2 linked regions of the Oreochromis niloticus genome follow. The protein of the gene in region 1 interacts with the protein of each later gene in a pairwise test. Links are inferred from orthologs where the notes say so. Each region holds a gene or a part of one and is shown on either strand. Other genes may lie near its edges. The genes, in order: rxrgb and mpped2a.

What was found.
Region 2: the proteins of rxrgb (region 1) and mpped2a interact in binary tests that used the Homo sapiens proteins (3 or more experiments, as listed by UniProt). The two-hybrid records come from large-scale screens. The link is inferred for Oreochromis niloticus from reciprocal best matches to the Homo sapiens genes RXRG and MPPED2.

What each region holds. Positions count from the first base shown.
Region 1 is NC_031986.2:42,886,388-42,898,752, forward strand, and holds the start of rxrgb (retinoic acid receptor RXR-gamma-B), read right to left. Parts: upstream 5,070-12,365; 5' UTR 4,993-5,069; coding exon 4,926-4,992; intron 1-4,925. UniProt on the Homo sapiens protein: Receptor for retinoic acid. Retinoic acid receptors bind as heterodimers to their target response elements in response to their ligands, all-trans or 9-cis retinoic acid, and regulate gene expression in various biological processes.
Region 2 is NC_031965.2:7,296,097-7,307,592, forward strand, and holds the start of mpped2a (metallophosphoesterase MPPED2a), read left to right. Parts: upstream 1-7,072; 5' UTR 7,073-7,611; intron 7,612-8,952; 5' UTR 8,953-9,062; intron 9,063-9,885; 5' UTR 9,886-10,049; coding exon 10,050-10,162; intron 10,163-11,496. UniProt on the Homo sapiens protein: Displays low metallophosphoesterase activity (in vitro). May play a role in the development of the nervous system.

The sequences.
Region 1 (12,365 bases):
TTGACACAACACTAACAACAAATCTTCGCCCAGATCTGAGCGTGTTCGTGGCTGCATTACAGAGGGGAAAAAGAAAAGCACATGGACAGTCAGCTGGTGGGATGCCTAAAAGGGAATTGCTCGAGAGGTGAGCATGCTTTGGGAAGGGCGTGTGCGCGTTTTGTGTCTGTGTGTATGAAGGCCAACATGCTCAGTGGAGGAAGCACAAATGGGCCCTGAGCGGCTCAAAGAAGCCTATCCTTGAATGACCCGCCTCAACCGGCAGTCCAATCTAAGTCACTTCCACAACAAAGACCCTTAAATGCCCAGACTATATCCTACCATAGTCCTGCCATTCATTTCATGGCACAGAAATGTACGTTAGCAGTCTGCAGCATTCACAAATATGTCGTTTAACTTTTCCCTCTCAGTCTTGCTTAAACCTATACAACGCTTCAGCAACTCAAGCATCTATCTGAGAGCAAACAAACAGAGCAGTGAAGGGCACCTTTGAACACTAGTGTCGCAAATCAAAGGTCACTTGTTACCAAACTCCTGAGCCAAGTTCAAAAGAGTTTTCTGTCTGCAGCAGCGCAGGTCTCTACTGATCATTCCCAGAAATTACTGCACTGACGGGGATGCAGGACTCACACAGTAACCTGCTAAAATACAGCTTGATCTGACTTTGTGATGAAAGGCTCCTAAAAATTGACCCAGTATAAATCACAGCTTCTTTTAGCAAGAAATGTAACCCATACAGTTTTACAGCACATCAGCCTATTTTCATTTTAGCTCCCTTTTGATATGCTTATTGTGTTTGAAAGATCTTTGAATGTCGAGTGATTGCACAGTTATCAACAATAACAAACCAATCACGCTACTGTTATATTAAACTTACCTGTACAACCCATGTCCACACACATCAAGATTGACTGTTTTTCCTGTGGTCTTTGGGAAATTGGGATTAGTACTTTTCTCCTCCAAGGCATTTTTATAGACTAACCACTTAACCAGACCAGTGAATACTAACAATAATTCTTAATATGACCTTTACCGAGCTTAACAAGATCACATTATTCTGTTCCCTTGCATGCAAAAAATCCAAACATCATCATCAAATTGCCTCTGCTGTGTCAGATGATCATATTTACTTTGAAAGCCAAAGGAAGGAATACCCAAAGCCACAAATACATCACATTGATCTGATGATCAACAGGTTTAAAGAAACATCACAAACCACAAACCCTCTAAATCCCTTGCAGTTAATTACTGGGTTGTAACTGGATGGAGCGCTGCACTGAGTGGTAATTCAATAAGACCAAACTAATAATATCTCCCGTCTGGAAAGCAGACCAGCACTGGGAGTGCACAGTGAGGGGATGACGGGGTGGGAGCAGCAGACCCACTCCTAAATGACAACATAAACCTCAATATTTATCACATGAACCCCAACAAAAAGGAATCCTCAGCACGTGCATGGATTTGTTCAATACCCGTCTATTCTATATGTGTTTTTATGCAAAATGAGTTCAAGTCTGTAGATGACAGTGCCGTGACCAAATGACATAGAACAGAATGCATCGTAAAGTAATCAGACGGACAGCCTGAGGAGCTCATTAGATTCAGTGAACATGTAATTAAGAAATCTCCGCGCTGGCTGCAAACCATCACACTCACTCCTTGCATGTGCACATACTCGCTCACACTAAAAGAGGGGGGGGAAACCCCCCACAAATTGTCTGCACACACCAGCATAAAAATCACCACCCTTTTAACATTCATTTCTTGACTAAATGAGGTTGATGTCTGATCAATTGTGTCAGTAAATCCTCTTATCCCCGGGTAAGTATGTGCAGCTCAGCAGGCCAGCTGTCAAGAAGGTGGGAGGCCCGGGGAGGAGGGGACTGAGAGCCGAATAGACCCAGGGAGGAAGGAAGGTAGCAACGGATGGCTGGCTGGATGGCTGGATGGCTGGCTGGGGGAGGGCACTGCTCTCCTTCTCTTCCCAGCCCGCATGATTCCACTAACACTACCACCACACACTCCTAATCACCCCGCCTGTGCGAGGACATTAGATCATGAGTTGAGAAAAGCCCCTGTTTATTTTCTGCACAGCTGTGATTTTAGGAGATACAAATGGTTGCTGGTGATAGAAAATGAAGATACAGTCCACTGTTACATAAGCAACACTCTGTCCAAAGCTGCTTCAAGGACACCTGTTCCATTTTCGTACTGCTTTGTCAGCCAAAATTAATAACGCTCATTTTACCAGCAGAACAGATGTTACAGTTGTGTATCATTCCTGTCTTGTTGGAAACATAAAGAAAAGCGTTGGGGAAAAAAAAGTTGTGTCCATAAAGGCTTACGGCTGTGACAACATAAGGGCTTCAGATAGCAAACTTCTCTGACCCCAAATTCTGCCCTGTGAAACCCTCCAGTGAAATCAAATATACTTCTGAACAGAAGAGGAATGAACTCTTCCCCCCATTTCTTTCAGTTTCCCTATAACAAGCATTCATACAAGCAAAGCAAATTGTTTGGAAAGTACATATATTGTTTTCCCACAGGCGGACCACGTTTGTAGTTCTCTTAAATCAAACACAGACCTGCTACTGGGACCTTTTTTTTTTTTTCTTTTTTTTTTAAACACAGGCCCACAGAGAATCGATGAGGAGCCCAGAACTGAGACAGGGACAAGATAAAGACTGTTTTGCAAGTGATAAAAGTTTGGAACTTAAACAACACGAGCTAACACAGAACAGGCTGACCAAGCAGTCCTGGAAAACAAACAAACAGCTGGGCCGAAAGTCCCAATGCAAATCGAGCATCCGCCCTTTTGGCTTTGCCTGCTGAGGTAACTCAAATTAGTTCCTAGAAGTAGTCGTTCACTGTTACAGGGGGCAATGGAGATATAGCCATGTGCTGTTGACATGCACACACGGACACACAGAATACACACAAACCCATTCATGTCATGCTGTGACTGTGGGAGTGCGACCAGGCCGACCTGACCTCTTGAACTGAAGACAGATCCTAGAAAGAGGACGACACTTACACCAGCTTTCTGGATCCTAGAAAGACAGTCGGACTTACACCAGCTTAGCAGCTAGAGTTAACACAGACAGTCTGGTCTTGGGGTACCGTATCACATGAAAAACAATGTGTTCCTTGTGGCCATATACAGAAACATAAACAGACCAATCGGGAAATGAGAAGAAAAATGCTAAATGACAAGAAGCGAGGTAGTGATAGGATTAAGCTTCTAAGCCATAGCCATGTTAACGGCTTTGCTTTAAGTTAACAGCTAAAGTCAGGCAAGCTGCTGGTTATTCGGGCATGATGCTAAGAGGTAGCACATTTAGCACAACAAAATAAAGTTTAAAAAAAAAAAAAAAAACAAGGATTCCCTCCCTCAGAATAACTACACTCTACCCCTTTAACTACAAGCAGCATTTCACGATTTTCCTTTAATCTTCTAAAGATTATTCTTAGCTATGATTTACTCCACGTTGCCAAAGCAACTAAAATGTGAAAATCAAATAACAGAAATATCTTTAAAGTTAGCATGGAATCAAATTTATTTAAACCCAGTGCTTGGTTGCTTTAAAAGTTCCTATAAACTAATCGCTTTTTCAGACAAGGAAAATCAATATGAAACCATATGGTGGCTCCAGTTTAATGCCATATCAATCAATTTGTACTGGACTGTTGAAAAACATGCAAAACTGCCAGCATTTATTAAGCTATAGTCCTGTTGTTTGTTTAAGTTTTATTGAATTGCTCCTGATATTAAATAGGCAACACTGTATTTCATCAACATAGCTGAAGCTCAGCATAATATGGATTTAATCACAGCTTTGTCAAATGTCCTGCGGTGCTTTTAATGAATGACCAGAACAGAAAGAGCCAACCTCCCATCATAAGCATAACCATGAACATAAAACACTTGGACTGCCAGGTTGGAAAGTCTGTATTAGACTATATTACTGTCCTCACACCATACCTCCACCCAGGCCAAGAAAATCCACTGAACAACTTTAGTATTTTCAGGAGAATGTGTTTCTCAAGGACACTCAAAAACACAAGGGTGCTCTAAAATGCACAATTTGCAGATAGAAATATTCTCTAGACAGAGAAGCCACTTAATAGGCCAACTACAGCATGTGTTTAACTGAGCTCACACCAATGCTTTCCACACCTCTTCAGGAAGGACAGAAAGGAAAAAAAAAAGGAAACAAACACATCACAGAGGCTGTTGATGGAAAGGTGACGGGCAGTTAGACACAAATGGAGAAAGAAAGCGGGATGAAGAGGGCTAATAGGAAGGGACAAGTGTTGAGAGATAAAGAGACAGTGAAGGACAAGGCAAAGAGAGCTGGAAGCATCCTTTTAGACTGAGTGACAACCCCGCTGAACTCATCTGAGAATTCAAGTGAGTCACTAGTTCTAGATCCCGATCTCCAACTGGAAAACCTTGTACCTGCCACAACTTGTTAAAATGACCCAGTGATGATAAAAGCGGGAACTGATCTGTTAGCAGCGAATATCCTGGAAGTAGATTTAAAGATGCAGTTGCTTGATTAAATAAATAATTAAATGTTAAGTTATTTTTTACCGAGGAATAGATACAACATGGGTGAGAGAAGAATATATATAATAGGAAAAAAAGAAAAAAAAAAAACTGGTTTAACGATCTGCAGATGCAATTGCCATGAGAGTTGTTGGTTTGTCCCCGGAAGAAAGAAATTCAAAATAACTTCATCAAAGAGTGCACAGGGATTAGAGGCATTACTCAAATGCATCTGTGCACCACTAGCTTTCGTGCTCAAGCTTCACTTCTGTTGAAACCCGCAGACGAGACACGTTGCATCAGAATGATTCCATTTCCAATAACACACACACACACACACACACACACACACTAAAGACAATACCCAGCTACTCACAGTGACCATAACCTATTTCCCTTCCAGGGCTGCCCCCACTTCCAGGTGATGCCACTGGATGCCACATGTCTTCGGGCGCAAATGGTAGCGCTGGAAGAACACGAGTCGCTCAGGACCAGGTGTCACACTCAAAGTGCTGGCTTGGTGGATGCTCAATCGAGCACTTTTCAGAGAAGAACGTGACGGAAGGGTCGGCGTGTAGAGGGAGGGATGGGGGGCCTCCGTGAAGAGCAAAAGAGGCGGAGTCCAACAGCGCCGGTTATAGGATTACCCAGATTATCCTTCCCCAGAGATCAATCCCACAGGAACTGTTTGCTGCCCGACTGCAGCACAAATCAGCTCCTCTACCGCCCACTCAACTCGTGTTTCTCCTCTCTCTTTATCTCCCCCTCTATCTATACAGAAACACCTGTTGTAGTGGTACAACCAGGAGGTCTGGCCGGAGGGGGGCGCGGTTGGGGGAGGTCATGGTGGAAGGGGTCGTTTAAAAGTACAGTACAACCAGACGTTTCCAATTACTTCCTCTAAAAAGGGTTCAGGACTAAAGAGCAAGGGAAGACAGCATGAAGACACTAATACAGTGCAAAGGTCATTATATGTCAGTGACATTTCTTCACTATGTTCCTCTTGTTTTTTTTTTTAAAGCATCCATCACAAATTCTCTTTCTGTTTTGCAGGTTTTATAAATGACGTGTGTTGAGTGGGTGACAAGAAGTGGTCAGAGGTTGAAGTTCTATTTTGTCTCACCAAAAATAACTTAACACCATATCACACTGTGAAATAACTGTGCCAGCATTCACGCTTAAAGGTATTGTTAGCAGCATGTTTAGTCGAGTCGCCTCTGTGAATATGTTTGTGTGTTTAACAAGTGTGATAGCATTCCAGGAAGTCAGGAATTGTCTTTTTAGGTGCTCTAGGATAGCCAGGAAAACACAGGGCAAAGTGAAAATCCAGATGCACACACAGGCCAAAAATATAACTTAAAGGCAGCGAGGAACAATACATGAGAAATCCTGAGGGAAGCTAAATAAACCATGCAGAGATAGATTTGATCTGCAAAAGCAACCCTTGGTGGAGGACTGCATCTACTATAGCAGGCTTTTAAAACAGGTAACCATTTTTTAGACTTAAAAATATGCATGCAAAAAGTAGATGCTCTACTTGTTTAGTAATGACAGAGGCAAGGCAACATGTTATTATCGCCACAAAATAGACCAACCCGTAAATGTTAAAGTGTTCCTTCTAATTTATCCTTCCAGTGTATCGAATGTTCTTCTTCAGATATTCAAACTGAGATATAGCACCAGAAACTTCCATTTCTTGCGTCCATCTATTTTCCTTACACGACTCAACAGAGCTTTCTTGCGCAGACTACCCAGCAAGTGATTGGGTCGACTATACAGTGTTTAAAGGAGAACCACTAGTAACCATATACTCTCAGTGACACTCGTTTGGCTTTGTCCTCCTCCCGTGACTCAGCGGCCTGACACATAAGAGGAGAACATGACGGAAGAGGAGAAATGCTAGCGTCTCTTTAAGAAATCCCAGAGGGAGAAATTAAAATAATGCAATCCTTCTGAAAAGCACGCTGTGTTATATTAGTGTGTCATGGCCCACATAAAATACGTGAAATTAACCCCGAGAGCCATAATTAGCAATCACAGATGTATTATGGTTTGTTAAGGCGCGGGAAGAAGATAATTGGCAGCCCTAAATTTAGGCTACATTTTTAAATCTAAACTTCTAATAATGTAATCAGCGTGCCGTCATCTCAGGAGAAAGGTTTTCCTTATGGCCTGCTCTCCCTGCCGGCAGCGATTTCTGACAACACTGAGGACATAATCATGTGGCATATTCAGCTGGGTAGACATTTATAGGAAAATACAGTGGAAAAGCAGAAAAGAGCAGGGAAATTATGCTACAGTAGTGTGTGCTTCTGCTACATGTTGATGCTCTGTAGAAGTGAGACAGGAGCAGCACACTAAAATGGCACTCTCAAAGCATTAAAAATAACCAAGCGGGGTTTCCAGCATGTTCTTCATGGAGAGGTTTGATGAGATCTAATGTGCTTAGCTGTTACCTGTTGCTGCCATTTGTGCACCCACAGGACAAAAAAGCACCATGAGGAATATTTTGGCTGGTCAGTCAAACTAGCACCTATTGAGTTATGAACTTCCGCTCATTAATCACACTCCTGTAATAGTATAAATGAGTTCCACAGTGCTTAAACTTTCTAAGCATGTGCTTGTTTTGGAACTGACTCCACATACATTAATCTCTCAACATGGGAACACATCAGCTAGTCTGCTGACTTGGCCTGCAAAGCCAACGGCCAATTTTCACAGCTTCCTGTGTGGCGAGGATATCCAAACAGCGGATACTGGAAATCCGGGTCAAACCTTCCTGTTCATTTCACAGGTGATTGTATGCACACAACTGAAGAAAATGTTTAAAAGTTATTGAAATGCAAACAAAGTTGCCTGAACGTGATTGGTGAAAAGAACTTGGGGCTACAAATGTAAACCTAAGAAACTTCCAGCACCTTTGCCTACAGAGTCAGAGTTTACAACTCTCTGCCTAAAAATGGGCCTAGAACTCAAGGTTATGGCTTCTAACTGCCTGTTTTGTGCAAACACCAGTAAATACTTAACTGCAATTATAAATGACAAAGAAAGACAAAACAAAGAAATAATTCACATCATGTAAGTAATAAACTAGGGAACGTTTGGCCTATTTCCAGTGGAAGATTTTAACACACATTTAGCATTTTTAAATTAAATTTAAAAAACTGCACAAATCCACAAATGGATTACTACATTTTCACTATTGAATCCTCAAATATTTTCCTGCGTGACTATTTTCTAATTCTTATTTGATTCCATATCTTTATTACTATTATTCACTGCACTCCAGCCTTTTTAGCAGAGCGGTAAGAGTGAACCACTCTGCATTTCTCAAACAAATAGTAGCACTGCTGGCAAACAGTTTTCTATCAATTAAGTAATCAAGTAATGTTCCCTCTAGGAATAATATTGCAGATGCATTAACAGCTTTAGTTCTGTGTGCGCAGGTGCAGCTTAAAGCTTGCACACACTGAGAAATGCTGTTGCAGGAAATGACAATTTATTGAATATCAGATGGAAAAAGGAGCCAGATGTTAAGATGCCTTCCAAGCAGTGAACAAATTAAAAACTCAAATTAGATAGGTTGTTGAAATCAGAAATAGCTCAATACATCTCATAACTAAACATTGCTTTAGCACGTGAGCCTTTGAAGGTTCTCTGCTTGATTAAAGCTGGAATTAAATCAAGGCTTTGACCTTCTTCACTAATGACTAATTACTGGCAATTAGCCCAGAGAATGGCCTCTTTTCGCCCCCTCTTTTCCCTCATCCTGCTCTCACAATTGGCACCCACTCAAACACACAATCAAGGCAAGCTGACTATTTTACGCGGAAACACAAATACGCACACGATCACTTAAAAAGTGCCTCAAAATAAACCTTTTGTAGGTATTGTGTGCTAATGAATGCGTGAACACAGAGGTACTGCATGTCTCAAGCTATGGGATCCTTGAGCAAATACCTGCAAAGAGCCACACCTTCTCTACCTGTGTGGTGTATTTAATTCTGCAGCAGTGGGAGGGGAGGAGGTTTTATTACTGCGGGGACTTGACAGTCAAAAGGTAAAACTTGCATTCTTTAAGTCACGTGCCATCACGGTCACAGTCTGTTGTACAGGAGTTACTCATACAAGCTACTGCGCAGCTGTGAAGAATAGGCATGGGTGTGTGAATGTGTGTGGGTGTCCTCCTGCTTCTGTCTGTGCGTGCACTGGGAGGTCAACCGTTGATCCCTAGGAAGTGATGAGTTTTCAAACCACCCCCTCACCCCCATCCATCCCCCACCCGGGTTTCAATCCAGTTCTTCTTTCTGTCATGACCTCCCTGTTGTGTGAGCCAAATAAGTTCTCACCGTCAAATGTACCAAAATAAGCGCTCATCAGCTTGTCTAGAATCACTTCCACTGACGGAAAATAAAAAATGCTGAAGTGCTGAGAGAGAAAAAAAATGCTGATTCTACTCCAAGCTCCGAGCAGGCCTGCATCAAACCTGCTGAAACATAACAAGTCTGGGAAAAGCCGAAGAGGAGGAAGAGGTGGATCATGAAGCAATCTGCACATAATCACCAGACTGGTTTTTTTTTTGACTCCACACTTCTTTGCCTCAGCTTCACGCTCCTAACAGATTACAAAGGGTGACCATTTTCAAGTCAGAATACGAGTACTGTTTATGGCCCTGTTTTCATACGTGCTTTGGTGCATCCTAAATCATAGCTGTGAGCCAACACAGACAAAACAAGATTTGGAATGACTTTCAGTGGTTGTGGCTTTCATTTAGCTCTGTGGCTTTACTACCAACATTCAAAAGCGAATGCACTAGAGGAGGATTCAGCTAATCCTGGTTTATGAGAACTACTTTAAGATTTATTCATAATTCATTTTTTCATACCAAAAATTATGACTATTTTGCGTTTAAGACAGACTTTTAGCCTTTGCGGGTAGTGAGTAATGCTGCAGCAGCATTACTGTGGAGAGCAGACTCTGTTTAAACCAAGACCAATGCAATTTTTGGAAAAAAAAAAACAGTGTTTAAATCGCATACTGGAACTTTAATGCAGAAACACGATTGGCTAATATCTATTAATATCTAAATCTTAGGATGCCACTATTGCCCAATCATAACAGATCTTTAAAGAGAAAGAAGAAAGAGTGTAGCCCTGAGGGACTGCTCCATTACTTCTGTACACTGTGGGTTTCTCTCAACACACTCTCCTATCCAGATGTCATGTCATTCCCCTGGGAGCCACATTCATTATGGAAACAATACTCAGCCCCTCCAAATGGTGCAAAGATATCTGTGATAGCATAAACAGGCGGTACAGTTTTGCCTTCAAAGACATAGCCTGCAATTAGATTTTATTTTCCCCACACAAGACAGGTAAAACCACTTTTTTAGGTTTTACAATCACTGTGCTAAGAATACATGACAGGATAAGTGTGTGTGACTTCATGAGACTATATGCTATACGCGCAAGCCTATTAGACCACGTTTGGTTTCAACTAAACACTTAAATGGCACAGGATACTTCTGTAAGTAGTGTGTCCCACGTGTTGCTCCAAGACGTCCCATTTCCTTGTCTCAGATGATTTTAAGCGGCCACAAGAAGGATAACAGAACAAATCCAGTCCACTGGTTCAAGGGCAAAGTCACCGAGTCAGACCAGACTTCAGCTTTACTGAGCAAAATCACATCACGCTGTCATTCAGTTGAATATGGCCACGGCGGTGACCAGGGCGCGTCTAGCACGCTGCACTCCTTTCTACCACAAAGAGGGAGCCTATAAGTTTGTTTATCAGTGGAAATCCGCCATTCCTCTGCGCAGTTGAAGGCTTTTCCCCTCTCTGGATCTGACGACCTACCCAGACCAATAAATTGTGTTTCTGTCTCAAACTGTTTAGCAAGAGACGCGCGACAAGCACCATAAATTACATAAGCGCAATTAAAGTGCCAACCTCTGACCTTGCCCGACCGGCACAGCCATGATCACCTGACTTTTGCAGTGACCGCATCTTTCGTTTCAATTCGCGCTGTTCTAAAGCGATTATTTAAGAGCAAGCGTAACAACAGGATCCACACACAGCAGTTGGTGGTTAAAGTCCGAGAACACTTTCGCGCACCGCTTGCAGACTGGAGAGAGAAGACGCCATAAAACAAACGCGCTCGCCGCTGAAGTCACAACAAAATGCAGCGGCTTCGCGGGGAGCACCGCAGCAAGATCGGACCCGGGCTAAATAACTCAAGAGTACTCACTGAGGTGTAGATATGGATCATTGCTGTCCATACTGCGCGAGTTGTTGCGTCGATTTCCTACAGTCGGTGCTGCTCCGCATCCCAGCACATTCCTCTCCCAGCCCGACTGAACTCTCTCTGCAAGGCGGCTCTACACAGGGGCCCAGCGAGGGAGGGGGCGGCAAAAACAGGGCTTCTCCCAATGACAACAGTGGTCGATATCAAGCTCCAACACGATCATGACGAAACATCTCTCCTGCAGCGACACTGTGTTGCAATATTTTCACAGTAAAATTTTACTTTGGCGACAGAAAGAAAGAAATAAGGTGTTTTACAGCCTACACGTTGTCTTCTTCCTATTTATAGGCAGCGTAATCAGATCAATCTTTAATAGGCCAATGAAAATAAATCTGGTCCGTCTAGGAAGGGAATGCAAGCTGGATTTTATTGATGACAGGCGATATGTTTGCGCATGACAACCAGTTTAAATACAATAAAATAACGTTATCCTTATATTTTAAAATAATTACTCCACTGACTTTAGAGTTTGTAGGTATGTACTTACCTGACACAGATTCTTTACCTTCTTCTCATATAGTCTGCAATTTAAAAAAATTAGCTACATTATTTGCAGCCTACACACAACTCCAAAAACAAACACCTGCTTCCCAGCTCTCAAATTATCCGGCTTAATCTGTATTTGGTAGGCTATTAACTCCAATTAAATATCTCATTTGGCTTTGCTTAAAGCCTATTAAATCTGTGACTACAGCCTATGACAATTCCAAATGCAAAACACTCTTTTTAATCTCCTGCCGTCTTCCTGTGAAGGGATCTCTCCAGTGTTTACCTAATTGTTAGTGTGAGTCCTGGCCTGGGTACCCCCCCGGAGCCCCCCCACACACACCCCTGTTCACAGTGCGGGGTCATGTAGGGGTGAAGCTCCCGGTACCTCAGAAGGTTATTTAGGAGTCAAGCCGCACTGAGGCATTCACAGTCTTGAACTGCAGAGCGGGCAGACGCTCCGTCAACGCCCGGCCGCTGACCACTCAGCGGGCCTTTGGGCTGCCCCGCTAATAGGACAGGCACCCCGGCACTCCCGTCCTTGTAACAGCGACCCATAAAAGAGCACAGGAGGATGCTAACCAAGATGAATGGGATTTTTTTCTCAGCTCATTCTACACTAATCAGAGCTTTTCATTTGTTATGGCCTTGCGCCAGCCCCTCAGCGCAGCCTTCCATTAGGGCCAGATAACATATAAATTCATTAAAGTCAAACAGAGGCATTAAAATGGTCATTTGTCAGCTCTCTCTTTGTGTCTTCCTAATGGTGGCACATGGTTCAAGGCATTGAAATGATTTTGGTAGGGCTTTTTTTGCACTCTGGCTCAAGAAGGGGGGACGTGGGAATTACACATATAGATAGATAGATAGATAGATAGATAGATAGATAGATAGATAGATAGATAGATAGATAGATAGATAGAAGAGTCTGTGTGTTTATATGTGTATTTTTTTCTTTAGTGAAAATTTTGAAATTCTAAAAACATATGTTCATACTGGTTTTTATGCTTTATTAAAAAATAAATT
Region 2 (11,496 bases), on another chromosome or scaffold:
CAAGAAAGCCCCGTGAGCCAAACTCTAAGGCTTCTGGCTGCTCTAAACGCTCCGTTTCCTCCTCTTGGATATGACATCAAAGTCATACGGCTCCAACTGTAAGCACAGAACATGAATAAGGATTATTGTCTTTGAACTGTGAATCATACAAAGCTATACCAGCAGAGTCCAAGAAAAAAAACATGGAGCTGGAAACAGGCCTACAAGCCTACCTTTAAGACTAGAGTCTCTGGAAAAGAGAGAAAAGTGGCAGTTGTAGACAGAAGTCCTGTCTTTGGCTGTAGATTTTTTCTTTTTACTGTTAATATTTTTCACTTAAGATTGTGCTAATGTCAAACTCTGCAGTGGCTTTAGAAAAATATAATATACAGCCAACTGATTTTGACCAAGAAAACATCAAAGTAGACTGTAAGATATGCAGGGAAGACAAACTGTTTGACTTAAAGCCCACTTGGGTGCCATGTGTGCGGAGTGATGAAATTTGTATTCCCTGGTTGTGAGTGGTTTCTGGAGGGTGCTGGCCGTTGTTAATGTAGGTGAAAGAGGGAGCTGTGCTGAAAACCTCCCTGTTTTTTGCCACAGTTGCTGCACTTTGCATGGAAGACGCCAACTGGTCTGCAAACACTCACTATCTACTCATGAGCGGTAGTAAAACTTGAGGAAGTATGATGCACACCCAAAGCATCACATTCAAAGTAAAACTTATACCTAATTGCAGCTAGCATGTGTCAAAATGTGCAGCTTATACAGTCTGTTTCTGTTTGATGTTGCACTTCTCACAGATTCACGGCCTCTTGGAGAGTAGTTGGCAGCTATTTGCAGACAAGTGGACATCTCCCATAAAAACTATGGGCAGCCGTGGCTTGTGGTTTGCATGGAAGATGTCGAAGGAGGTTTTCACAGCAAAATGCAGAAAGGTACTCTCAGATATTAGAATTGTCCAAAAATTTTTCTTGCCTCCTAGCTGCACACCAACAGTCAACAAGAAGAACCATTTCAACTCAACAACATGTACCTCTTTGCCAACAATTTTAACCCAAACCTGGTATGGCAATAGAAGAAGCTGAAACTAGAAGCAAAGAAAAGAAATGTGAGCGTCTGGGTTTTTTTCTCCAGAAAGTTTCATTTTTTTAAGTTGATGCATCATTGAAATGAAGGCAGGTGGAACACTGGAGTCTGCAACTCAGCTGTGCCCTCTGCATCAAGAGGTTAGCAAAGCTGAGAGGTGCAAAGCCAGCTGAAACAAAGCATGGTATGCTTCCGGGGATAATTTTAACATTGTTTAAATGTGCATATTTCCTTTAATCTTATGTTCACAGACTGGTATCATCCTCCTCTCTCTGCTTCTCTCTCTCCCTCTCTCTGCTGTTTTTGAGTTCATTGGCTTTCATCTGCAGCCTCTGCCCTCTTTCTGTCGCTCTGTTTTCTGGGTGAGTCTCTGTGTTTGGAAGTTCAGCCCTCTCTGTCTGACCAGCTGACCTGCTGACATGCTTTTATCCCGTTGTTATTTGCTCCTTTCCCTCTCACTCGCCTGATCCTTAGAAGCAAGTGTAATGGCGAACCTTTGCACCCACAAATACACACAAGCACACAGAGAAGTGCTGTGTTTTCAACCCTTTTACATACAGCAGACAGAACACCGAAAACAGCATTTCAATATTAGCATTTTATTGTACAACAAGAGCAACAACAAGCTAAAAGTCTAACCCCTTCCTGCCATTTATCCGCCCAACAAGAGGCTTAAAGTGAATTTCAAAAGAAGGAAGGATAAGTGGCTCTCATGCCAAATGACTGCTGAAAGACATAATAAATATTACTGGAATTTTTTTTAAATCAGTTTGTTCAGGCCATTGAATATGTAATGCACTGTGTAGTTTCCACAATACTAAGTGCGCCACATGCTTATACCACACACTGGAATACATCATGTGGACTACACATGCAGGCTTTGACTCATAAAACTGTGCATGGAGTTCTTGGAAAATGCAGTCAGAGGACGGAAAGAAAGTTATCACCGTGATAGAATAAATAGTGGATTAATTGTGAATGTGCCTGCTCAGGTCATCACCTGAGGAGAACAGGAGCCACTTCAGCAGAGCAGCTGAGGACTGAGTGCAACCCAGTGTTGTCCTCCTCTGAACTTCATCCAGTCAATTAACGTAATTTAATACACCCTCACTCCACGTGGATCACAGCGTGCCTCAGAGTTCTCCTAATTTATACGGTATTGACCGTTTTCACACACGTGGGGAGAGATGGAGAGATGGAGAGATGGAGCGGAGGCACACTGATTGTGTTGAATGGTTGCGAGTAAAGCTGGATCTCAGGGGTGGTGGGGTGGGAAATGAAGTGATTGTTTTATTTTTACAGTTTACCACTGCTAAAGTTGAAAGAGGCTTGGGAAGAAAGAGACGGAGAGGAGGCAAAAAGAGAGAGACTGACTCACAAAGTCCTCTCGAGTGAGCCTTCGTCTAGCCTTTGGCACAGAAAGTGAGCCTGCATATTACTCAGTCTATCACAACACAGCAGGAGAATGGGAGGGGAATTAATACACTTGGCTTTCGTGCCAGTATGCTCTCTCTTTGCCTTTCTTCTGTCCTACACTTCTGTTCTTCGCTTTCTGTTCAAGCTCCACTGGACAAAAGCACTTTATGTGCTAATAAAATTAGCTGGTATGTAGATTTCAGTTCCTCTCCCCCACTTTTTTTTATCAGTCCTATAACACCAGGCTGAGGAAAAGTGAGAAAAAGAAAACTCCTTGAATCTTGAGATAGTATTCATTTTTGTGTGTTCATTTCTAAACACAAGGCTGGTGCCAGAAGAGTGCTGCTGCTGCTGTGGCTCAGGGGCAAACATTTTTTTTGTCTGTGTGCATTTCAATGACATAAACAGTATCTAGCCTGCCATACCCTCAGCAACCATCTATCTGCCTCCCATAAATCTGAATGACATTAACATTTGAAAAACCCCAACTCCTGCCTATGTGCGGATGGGCCTCTCAGACAGACAGGCCTTTCGTTTTATTTAGGCGGGCAGTGAAGACAGACAGTGCCACAGACGGGCATAAATCTGTGCAGGTTAGAGCCGGTGAACCGCCGCAGCCGGCAGGTTAAGTGAATATCACCCTGTGCCTCCCGCAAGAAGCTCACTCTCCTATTTCCCTCTCCCATTAAATATATGTTCCTTTTTTTTTTTTTTTGCCTTATTTGGATGGAAAGTCATTTTACCCTCTTTTATAGAAGGTCATAAAATATATAGTGTGGGGGTTTTTTAGCACTCTGCATAACATTTACATTTTCTATTGTATAAATGTGATCGGCGCGGCACGGGGCTGAATAAAACATTCACAGCAAAAGCCATTTCTTTCTCTGACATTTGGTCCCGTATCTATCATCAGTTTTCTATATGCAGTCAGGAGAACAAACGCTGGTCAAATGTTTAAATGTGGCCTCTCCACATAAAATTTAAACCCTGCTTTCACATTAACACCCCCCGGCTAGTAGATGGAAATGCTTTTTTTTCTCTTTTTTTGCGCAGATAAGAGAAAAGTCAAATGGAAATGACTTGCAGGGCTGTTGTGGCAGTGGGGGGACGCGCTGATGGTCCTGGGAAATTGAAGCATGTCAGTAAAATTAGAAAAAAGCCAGCCCTGCCTCAACTGGCAGACATGTAAATGTGGTGGAGCCTCTCAGATGGGCCCATTATGGATAGTCCCACACAGCCTTTTCTCATCAAAAATCCCATCAGTATATTAAAAGGTATAGCCTTGGCACTGACAAATTAATGCTTTATTATCATTATTATTATTATTATTTTAATTCTTGAATGCTTTAAATTGCTGTTGAACTCAGTGATGGACAGCAATTGCAAAATAATAATTTCCCTTCATTTTGCTTTGCTCTACCTTACGTATAATGATTTTCACCTCAAGATCCTCTGTGGTCACTGAGGTGAGTTGGGGACTGATTCAAAGCTTCAGAGAAGGCTGCAAACATGGAGGTCAACCATAATATTTCAAAGAAAGGCTTTATGGGATCAAAGAATAAGCTAAAATAATCAGTGAAGGAAAGAGGTGGCAGCATTTAAATTATCATCAATTATTTAAAGTTTGTCTGTAGGCAGTTTAACTCATGACCCACAACACAGACTCTAGTCTAATAAAGACCAAAGAAAAAATATATAGTGATTTATTGTTTCATCTTTTTAATGTTGCCTAAAGCTGAGACTTTTAATAGCCTTCAATTTGCTATGAAAATGTTCACTTTATCCTGAATACTCTCTTCTGCAGTTTTCTTACAGGCTGTGCAGGTAACTTTTCTGAGTAGATTGCATAGTTTGCTGCAAGAGGTTTCCCTTCACAGACACATGATAACTCTGCACTAACGGTAGTTTAATGAGTATAGCTGAATGACTATGAGTAACACCGAAGGTCTACAATAACAGCGAATTAAGTCAAGGTGAACGGCCAGAAAACGAGACGTGAACAGAACGTGAACGTCGCGTGGCAGCAGCACCCTTACAAACAACAACTTTAACAATATAATTCAAGACTCTGGGTTTTCTTTTTCATTCTGTGCATATGTGGTGCACATGTGGTGCCAAGCTGTGAATATCCTGTAGATGTGATGCATCATTAACTATGATGGAACTAGTTGGGCGCCTCCATTTTTCAGAAGTGGACAATAACTTACAGCTGGCATGTTTACATTATTTGAAATGAGATTGATTGCAAGACAGAAAATGATTAATGCAGTTATCAGTTCACACTGAGTTACCAGTCAAAGCTACAGTCAAACTCAACAGCACAAACCCTTCGTTCGTAAAGCTCTGTGCTGCTGCGCCCTGGAGACTGGGCCTCACCTGGAGAAGAAACTTGTACTAAGGATTGCAAATGAACAATGAACACTTAGCAAACAGTGTAAAAACACAGCATGCCATTCATTGTGCTTGAAAAATAAAAATAGACCTGTACCATAAGATTTTAGAATTGTAAAAAATCTGTTCTTGCCTTATCTACTGTATTTCCATTTATCTTTGCATGTTTGTGGAAATTGCTGCATCTATTTCCCATTCGCCTGGCAAAAATATAAAAAATGAGAGGTGGCTGAAGACTTTTGCACAGTATTATATGTTAGTTATATGATACAAGAGTATGGTTTGAATAATTGTGTTAATTCCCATTGAGCCAAACCTGATTTTTTTTTTAAGATGGCAGGTACCCTACTTTGCTCAGGTGATGACAATAGAGCCTGTACCATGCACTGAAAAAGAGTATAATTCAAAGCTGGCACCCAGAAGTTGAGATTAGATTATTTCTCTACACAAATGCGGTATCTGATGCTTTCTACTTTGAATACTGAAAGTGTGACATTGGTTTCATGTGGAAATACATTTTAAACAAACAGATCATAGTAAAGGCTGCACACCGTGAGAGAGAAACACAAAAAATTCAAGATCAACCAAAACATTATGTGTTTGAAGAAAATCAAGACGAGCCTTTTTCCTACACTTCACTTATACTTCAGAGAAGTGATAGTCGGTGAGTTAAACGCTGGTGATCAGGAAGCTGCTTTTACAACCAGTCAGCCAAGTTTCAGGATTTTCCCAGTTGGAAACTGTGCTGCCCCATTTCAGGTTGTGTGATGGACTCCCACAGGTACTCATTAGTATTGTTTACTTGTGTACCCAAAGGGGCCATGCTGTCTTCTAATCATAGATTTTACAACACCTTCTACACTCTGGCACCATTTCCCACACATCTGTGATCTTATGAAAAAAAATATTCCAGGTCAACATTTCCACTCATCTATGTTTCAGTGTGAGAATGTGCATGTTAGCTGATGCTCAAATACATGGAAAGAGTGAGGCATACAGGTATCCAAGTTTACCCATAAAAGATAAAAGTGCATTCCTATCAGTACTTTCCTGTCTGTCACTGCCAAGACGATCAGTTAGCTTCAGTATATATGCTTGTTACAAACAAGTTCAAGGTACAGCTACCAATGTATTGATTACTGCATATTTCAAGGAATAAAATCAACAACCTTCTTGTTAGACCATGGCGTAAAGCCTGACATCCTAAAGCAAACCTGCCAGTCCATAGCTTTCTTCATGACCAACTGAAGACACAGAGGGAGAACAGTAAATTTAGGAACCTGGATTGATGCTTCTTAGTATTTCAAGGTTTAGGTTTTCATGTTATGAAATATTCCTGAGATGAGCATTTGTCATGTTGTTACTCTGTAACTAAAGGCTGTTGGGAATTTGCCAAGTCTATTGTTAATGTTCTCAAAAGACACTGAATGGACTATTATAGATATTTGGATTTGTCCTCTAGATAAAAAGGACAAGGCATGATAATAGCGGAAGCTATATGTTAAAACAAATACTTTGATGTATCTTAATAAGCATGCATTCTATGACTTATCAATCATTAATTAAGCCATTAGGTATGACTTACAGACTCTATGTAATGTTCTTTAAGAAACAAAAAAAAGTTCTGTTTAATAATTTAGAATTTAGCTTTTTTCCAGGCAACAATCTTCTGTGCCACAAAAATGCATTAATTTAGATTTTAAATATTAATACTATCAGTCAATACTTGGAAACCTATATTTATTAAAAGCTAACTCACTTGACATCTCTTTATAAATAACGTATTTGCTACTACTTGTAATCCCCTTTAGTAAAAGATCACATCATTAGTAAGTTGTAGTACTAATTTATTGCATTTATACCACACGTACTCGTTTTCTTCCCCACAGACATGTATTTCCAGCATCTTAGTGTCGCCACATAAATGACTAATCCATCTCCAATAAATCAACTGAGCATTATAACATATCACATGTTTGCAGTCTAGGCTCTATATACTTACATATTTTGTAAATTAGCTGGCAGTTTAGAAACATGGGCTTAAAATAATAATGTATGTAAATATGCATTTTGGTTTAATAAAGTATTATATATTCCAAAGCAACGTTGTTGTTACCACACACAAAAAATACTCATCCTGGCTAATCATCGTTACTCATTTCATTCATTTGACAAGACTTGCCATTTCCGAAAGTAAGTGAATGCAGCATAGAGCAGGACTGCGGGAGCACCCTCCTCCTTCCCCGCCCTCCCCTCCACTTCTCCTGCCTCTTGCGTGTGCCCGCCGGTAAGGGCACGCGCACGGGAGGTGGCGGGGGGTTGTGCTTGCTCCTGCTCTCTGACCCCAGTGGCAGCTTCGACTCACTGCACTCCGGCTCCCCCTCCGTCAGACCGAAGCTGTTCTCGCGCTCTCTCTCTCTCTCCCCTTCTTGTCTGTCAGTGTCTCTCGTCCTTCTCTCCGGCTTTTACCCCCTCCGCTCTCTTCTTGTCTGGTTTCTTTCCACAGGAGCCAGCAGAGGTCCCGCCGGGTCGAAGGTTCTGCCCTATCCGCCTAGCCTGCCGCAACCCCCGGACGGTCGCGTACGAACCTGCCCGCTCTACTGCTGCTGCTGCCGCATGGACCCGCGTCCCTCCGCCGCCGCCTCCTCTGCCGCCGCTGCGTAGAGGGCGACCCCGACCCGACACTCTTTTCTCCGGCCACAAAAAACACGCACAAAAAACCCCCACACGACGAAGGTAGAACAACCTTTCCGCTTTTCTTTGAGAACCGAAAAGGGAAGGGAATTAGGGGGGAAAGAGAGGAGACTGGGAGGGAAAAAAGAAACACAAAGCTGTCGGTTATAAGGTGGCTTGTCATTTACGAGGAAGAGCCAGAGGTTAGCGCGACGGTGTTGTGACACTGACCACCTTTGGGTGCTTTTAGTATCTCAGAAGCAGAGTTCAGGATTGCATGGACCTTTCTTTTTGTGTACGTTCCTGCAAGCGGCGGTGTTAATAGCGAGCGGCGCATAGCACACATCGTTGTGTGTGCGTCTTATCAGAAAGGGTCAATTTATTCGCCTTCAACCCCTCCTCTGCTTACCGGAGTGATTTCTATTCGTGAAGTTAGCTATATGCTGGCGTACGAGCGCGCTACATATCCGAGGACTGCACCGGCCATGTGTGCGTGCACCGGCCATGTGTGCGCGCACCGCCGTTACAGAAAAGCAGCTCAACGCGAAGCTACAGTGTGCATAATAATAATAAAAAAATCTATTGCCAGGGCAGGTTTAGCAGGCTAAGCTAGAGTGCTAGTTGCTACTACTGTAGCCATAAGGTAGAGACAGACAGACAGGCGAGCTTTGGCAGCCCGACACACACACAGAAACACACACAAAATCAGAAGACTGTGGAGCATGCTGCACACAGATTTTCGGCCTACATTTGCCCAGAAAAAGCAAATTTTCCGAGTAACTGCAGCGGTAGCACTAGATTCAGATTTTGCACTGATTGCAGAGGAGGTGAAGTGCAGGACATCCGACAGGGCAGTTTTGTACTGAAGTGAATTTTCTTTTTTTCTTTTAATTTAAGGCCCAGGAAGATCAATACACTTGTTTCATGTGTAACAAGGATTTTAATGGGACTCTCTTTTTTTCCACACTTTGAAATGTAAAGAGTTGAGTGTGCAGTGGAACTGCTTAGACTTTGCTCATGCATTTTTAATTTTTATTTATTTATTTTATTTTTAAAGTCTAGTTTAACCACCTTTTTCTCGGCTGGCATATATCTTTTTGACTTAAATTTATAGCGTGCATAATAGGAAGCAGGGTGCAGCCGACCCAGAAAACATAAATCAATGCTTTAGTGAAAATAGGACATTTTCTTTAAAAAAAAAAAAAAAGTTTAAATTGGGGTCTTGTTTATCCAGCAGCTGCTTTTTTTGTTTTTATCTCACTTCTCCATCCAAGGATTTAACCATCATGTGAACTCTGGAGCTTTGTTGATTTCCCTCCAAAAGATATGACAGACTTGTTAAATTGAGGGCATTTTTTTCTCCCTCTTTCTTTTCTTTTCTTCTCTTGCTCATGGCTGGATCAGGAGGTCTGGTATAAAACGGCTGTCAAAGCCCACAGTGGCCACTTTACTATCAGTTAGGGAGGTCAGACAGGAGGGAGGCTCAGGGTGCAAGGAGACTCACAGCGGATCCGGTGAGTGAGCTCCAGGGATGCATTATAGCAGCATTTTCTTTTTTAAGTCTTTGTTGTACAGTGGAGCAGAGATGCCATAGCATCTCATTAATTGCTAGTAGATCCTTTCTAAATTGAAGCATGGATATGTTTTTGTGCTTGGCTTACAGTCAGTGGGGAAGGAGACCTCTTTGATGCATGCATTGTGAAGAATTTCTCATTTTATAGAAGCAATTGCAGCAATTCCTCACCAGCAGAGATTCTGCCTGCAGCCTTTCTTTTTGTTTTTTTGTTTTTTAAATATGCTTGTAGTAATTGAAATTTTTTATTTAAATTTAATTTTTTACATTTAAATATGTTTTCATTGAAGCTAATAAAGTGCTTTCCAGAGTGGAAATTGTTGCTTAAAAAGTCAGAGAAGAGTTTTTTGTAAACTTTACTCTTAAGAAATTCCCTTGCTGCTTTTAAAGGTAGAGTACATCTGCTAATTGTGTTTAAATTGCCTCATTGTATTTTTCTATTGAGGCTTTTATGAGGATGTGTTTGATGAGATGTTTGATGATTTTTTTTTTTCTAGCAAATTTCAGGTGGTTTCTGTTCTCTGAAGCTGAATAAGACTGTACATGCCGTCACTGCATGCATGCATGCTTTGTCTTTAGTCTTTGCATTTGGGTAGAGCTTCACTTTAAAATGTATAAGTCTAACCTGCAATATTTATTTATTTTCTTATGCGAAGCCCTTGCTCGTGAGTGTATTCAGAAGAAAGTGCACGCCTTTTTAAAGCAGCTGGTGTGTGTGTGTGTGTGTGTGTGTGTGTGTGTGTCTGTCTCTCCTGTCGGTGCAGTGTGTCGTGGTCGAGTCAGTCGGCCGGGTTGCTGCTCCTGCTGCTCCTGCTGCTGCAGGGAGGCTTCCTGGGCTTCTGGAGAGCGGCTCTGAAGGATGACTGCCGCACGGCTCGCTGCTGAATCTCGGTGAACGAACAGCGTCTCATGTCCAAACTGTGGAAGGATGGCTCATGGCAAAGTGACCATCACTGTGGACGAGTACAGCTCCAACCCCACACAGGCCTTCACGCACTACAACATCAACCAGAGCCGCTTCCAGCCCCCACACGTCCACATGTAAGTTCACGGACACACACATACACAGTTGTTATGAGCTGGCAAAGTTAAATTAGAAAGAAATATTTTCTCTCTCTCCAAATGAATTTTATTTGTGATCTTTATTCCAAACTGAGCTGGTCACAAGGAACATTTAAATGACACATTGCAGCAGTGTCATTTATAAACCTGCACTTTCGGTGACATTTTAAACTAATTTCAGAATCATGCATACGCTTTAAGAACAATACAGGAAGCCAGCAGGTTTAATGCAGTCTCTGTTTACACTCCTGATATCACTGGCCCTTGCTCACTGAGTGTACGGTGGTGCGTGATTTAACGCAGTACAAACCATTCTTTTTGAATAAAAGTTTTAGTGGCGGTGAAGCCCTGAACAAAAGTGCAGCATCTGAAGACTAACACTAATTCTGTGCATCACACATACTTGTGCTGGTTTTTCTAACTTGTCGTGTTGTTTTATTTATTTATTTTTTTAATCTTTCTTGCGTGTGCTGTTGGTGCGTACTGTTCACCGGCGTGTGCTGCGGTCTCGCTGTGAGATGGTTATCATTTGTGCCATGTTGTCATTGCGGTATGTGGACGCTTTGTCTGCATTAAGGCGCTCTCCTTAGTTATTTATCAGACCAGTTACTTAGTGTTGCTCTTGTCTGATGTGGTTATGCTGTTCCTCTCATTAGTGGGTCAGAGCACTGTGACCCATCAACCCTCGACACACACCCTCACACACAAACACACTTTACAACACTGTGTTTTAGCTGTGACCAGATATTAACAGAGCTGCAGCTCACTTTGTGTCTTCTTCCAATTAGAGCAGTTGTGAGCTTTTTCCAAAAGGCTGGTGACTGCTGGTTTTGTGTACACTGCGTGCTCGTGACATTTATTCTCTGTGTATGTTGTGAAGTTAACCTGCAGCAGGGCCAGGAAGAGATTGAAGAGCCTGTTAGTAGTTTCCATCATCACTGTAATGGAGTTGTTTGTCATTTCTTTCTTTTTTCCCTTTTCTTTTTCATTTTTTTGCCTTTATGTGTGCATTTATTTATGGGGAAAAGCACAGCCCATCATTTTTTTTTCTTTTTTTTTTACATCATGAACGGAACACACAGGGATAAATGCAATTTATGGCTGCAATAAACATTGTAAAGCAATGCCGATGGTGACGCTGCTTTGAATTTTTGAAAGTCAAAACACCAAAATGCACAATATGTGAGAAAATCCAGCCCACGCCAAAACACAGAGCGCTAACCAAAGCATTCTAATCTTTGTTGTAGACAGCTTTCACAGTGAGGTCTGTACAAATGTGCCGTTCCCAAGTCCTCACATATAATTACATTGTT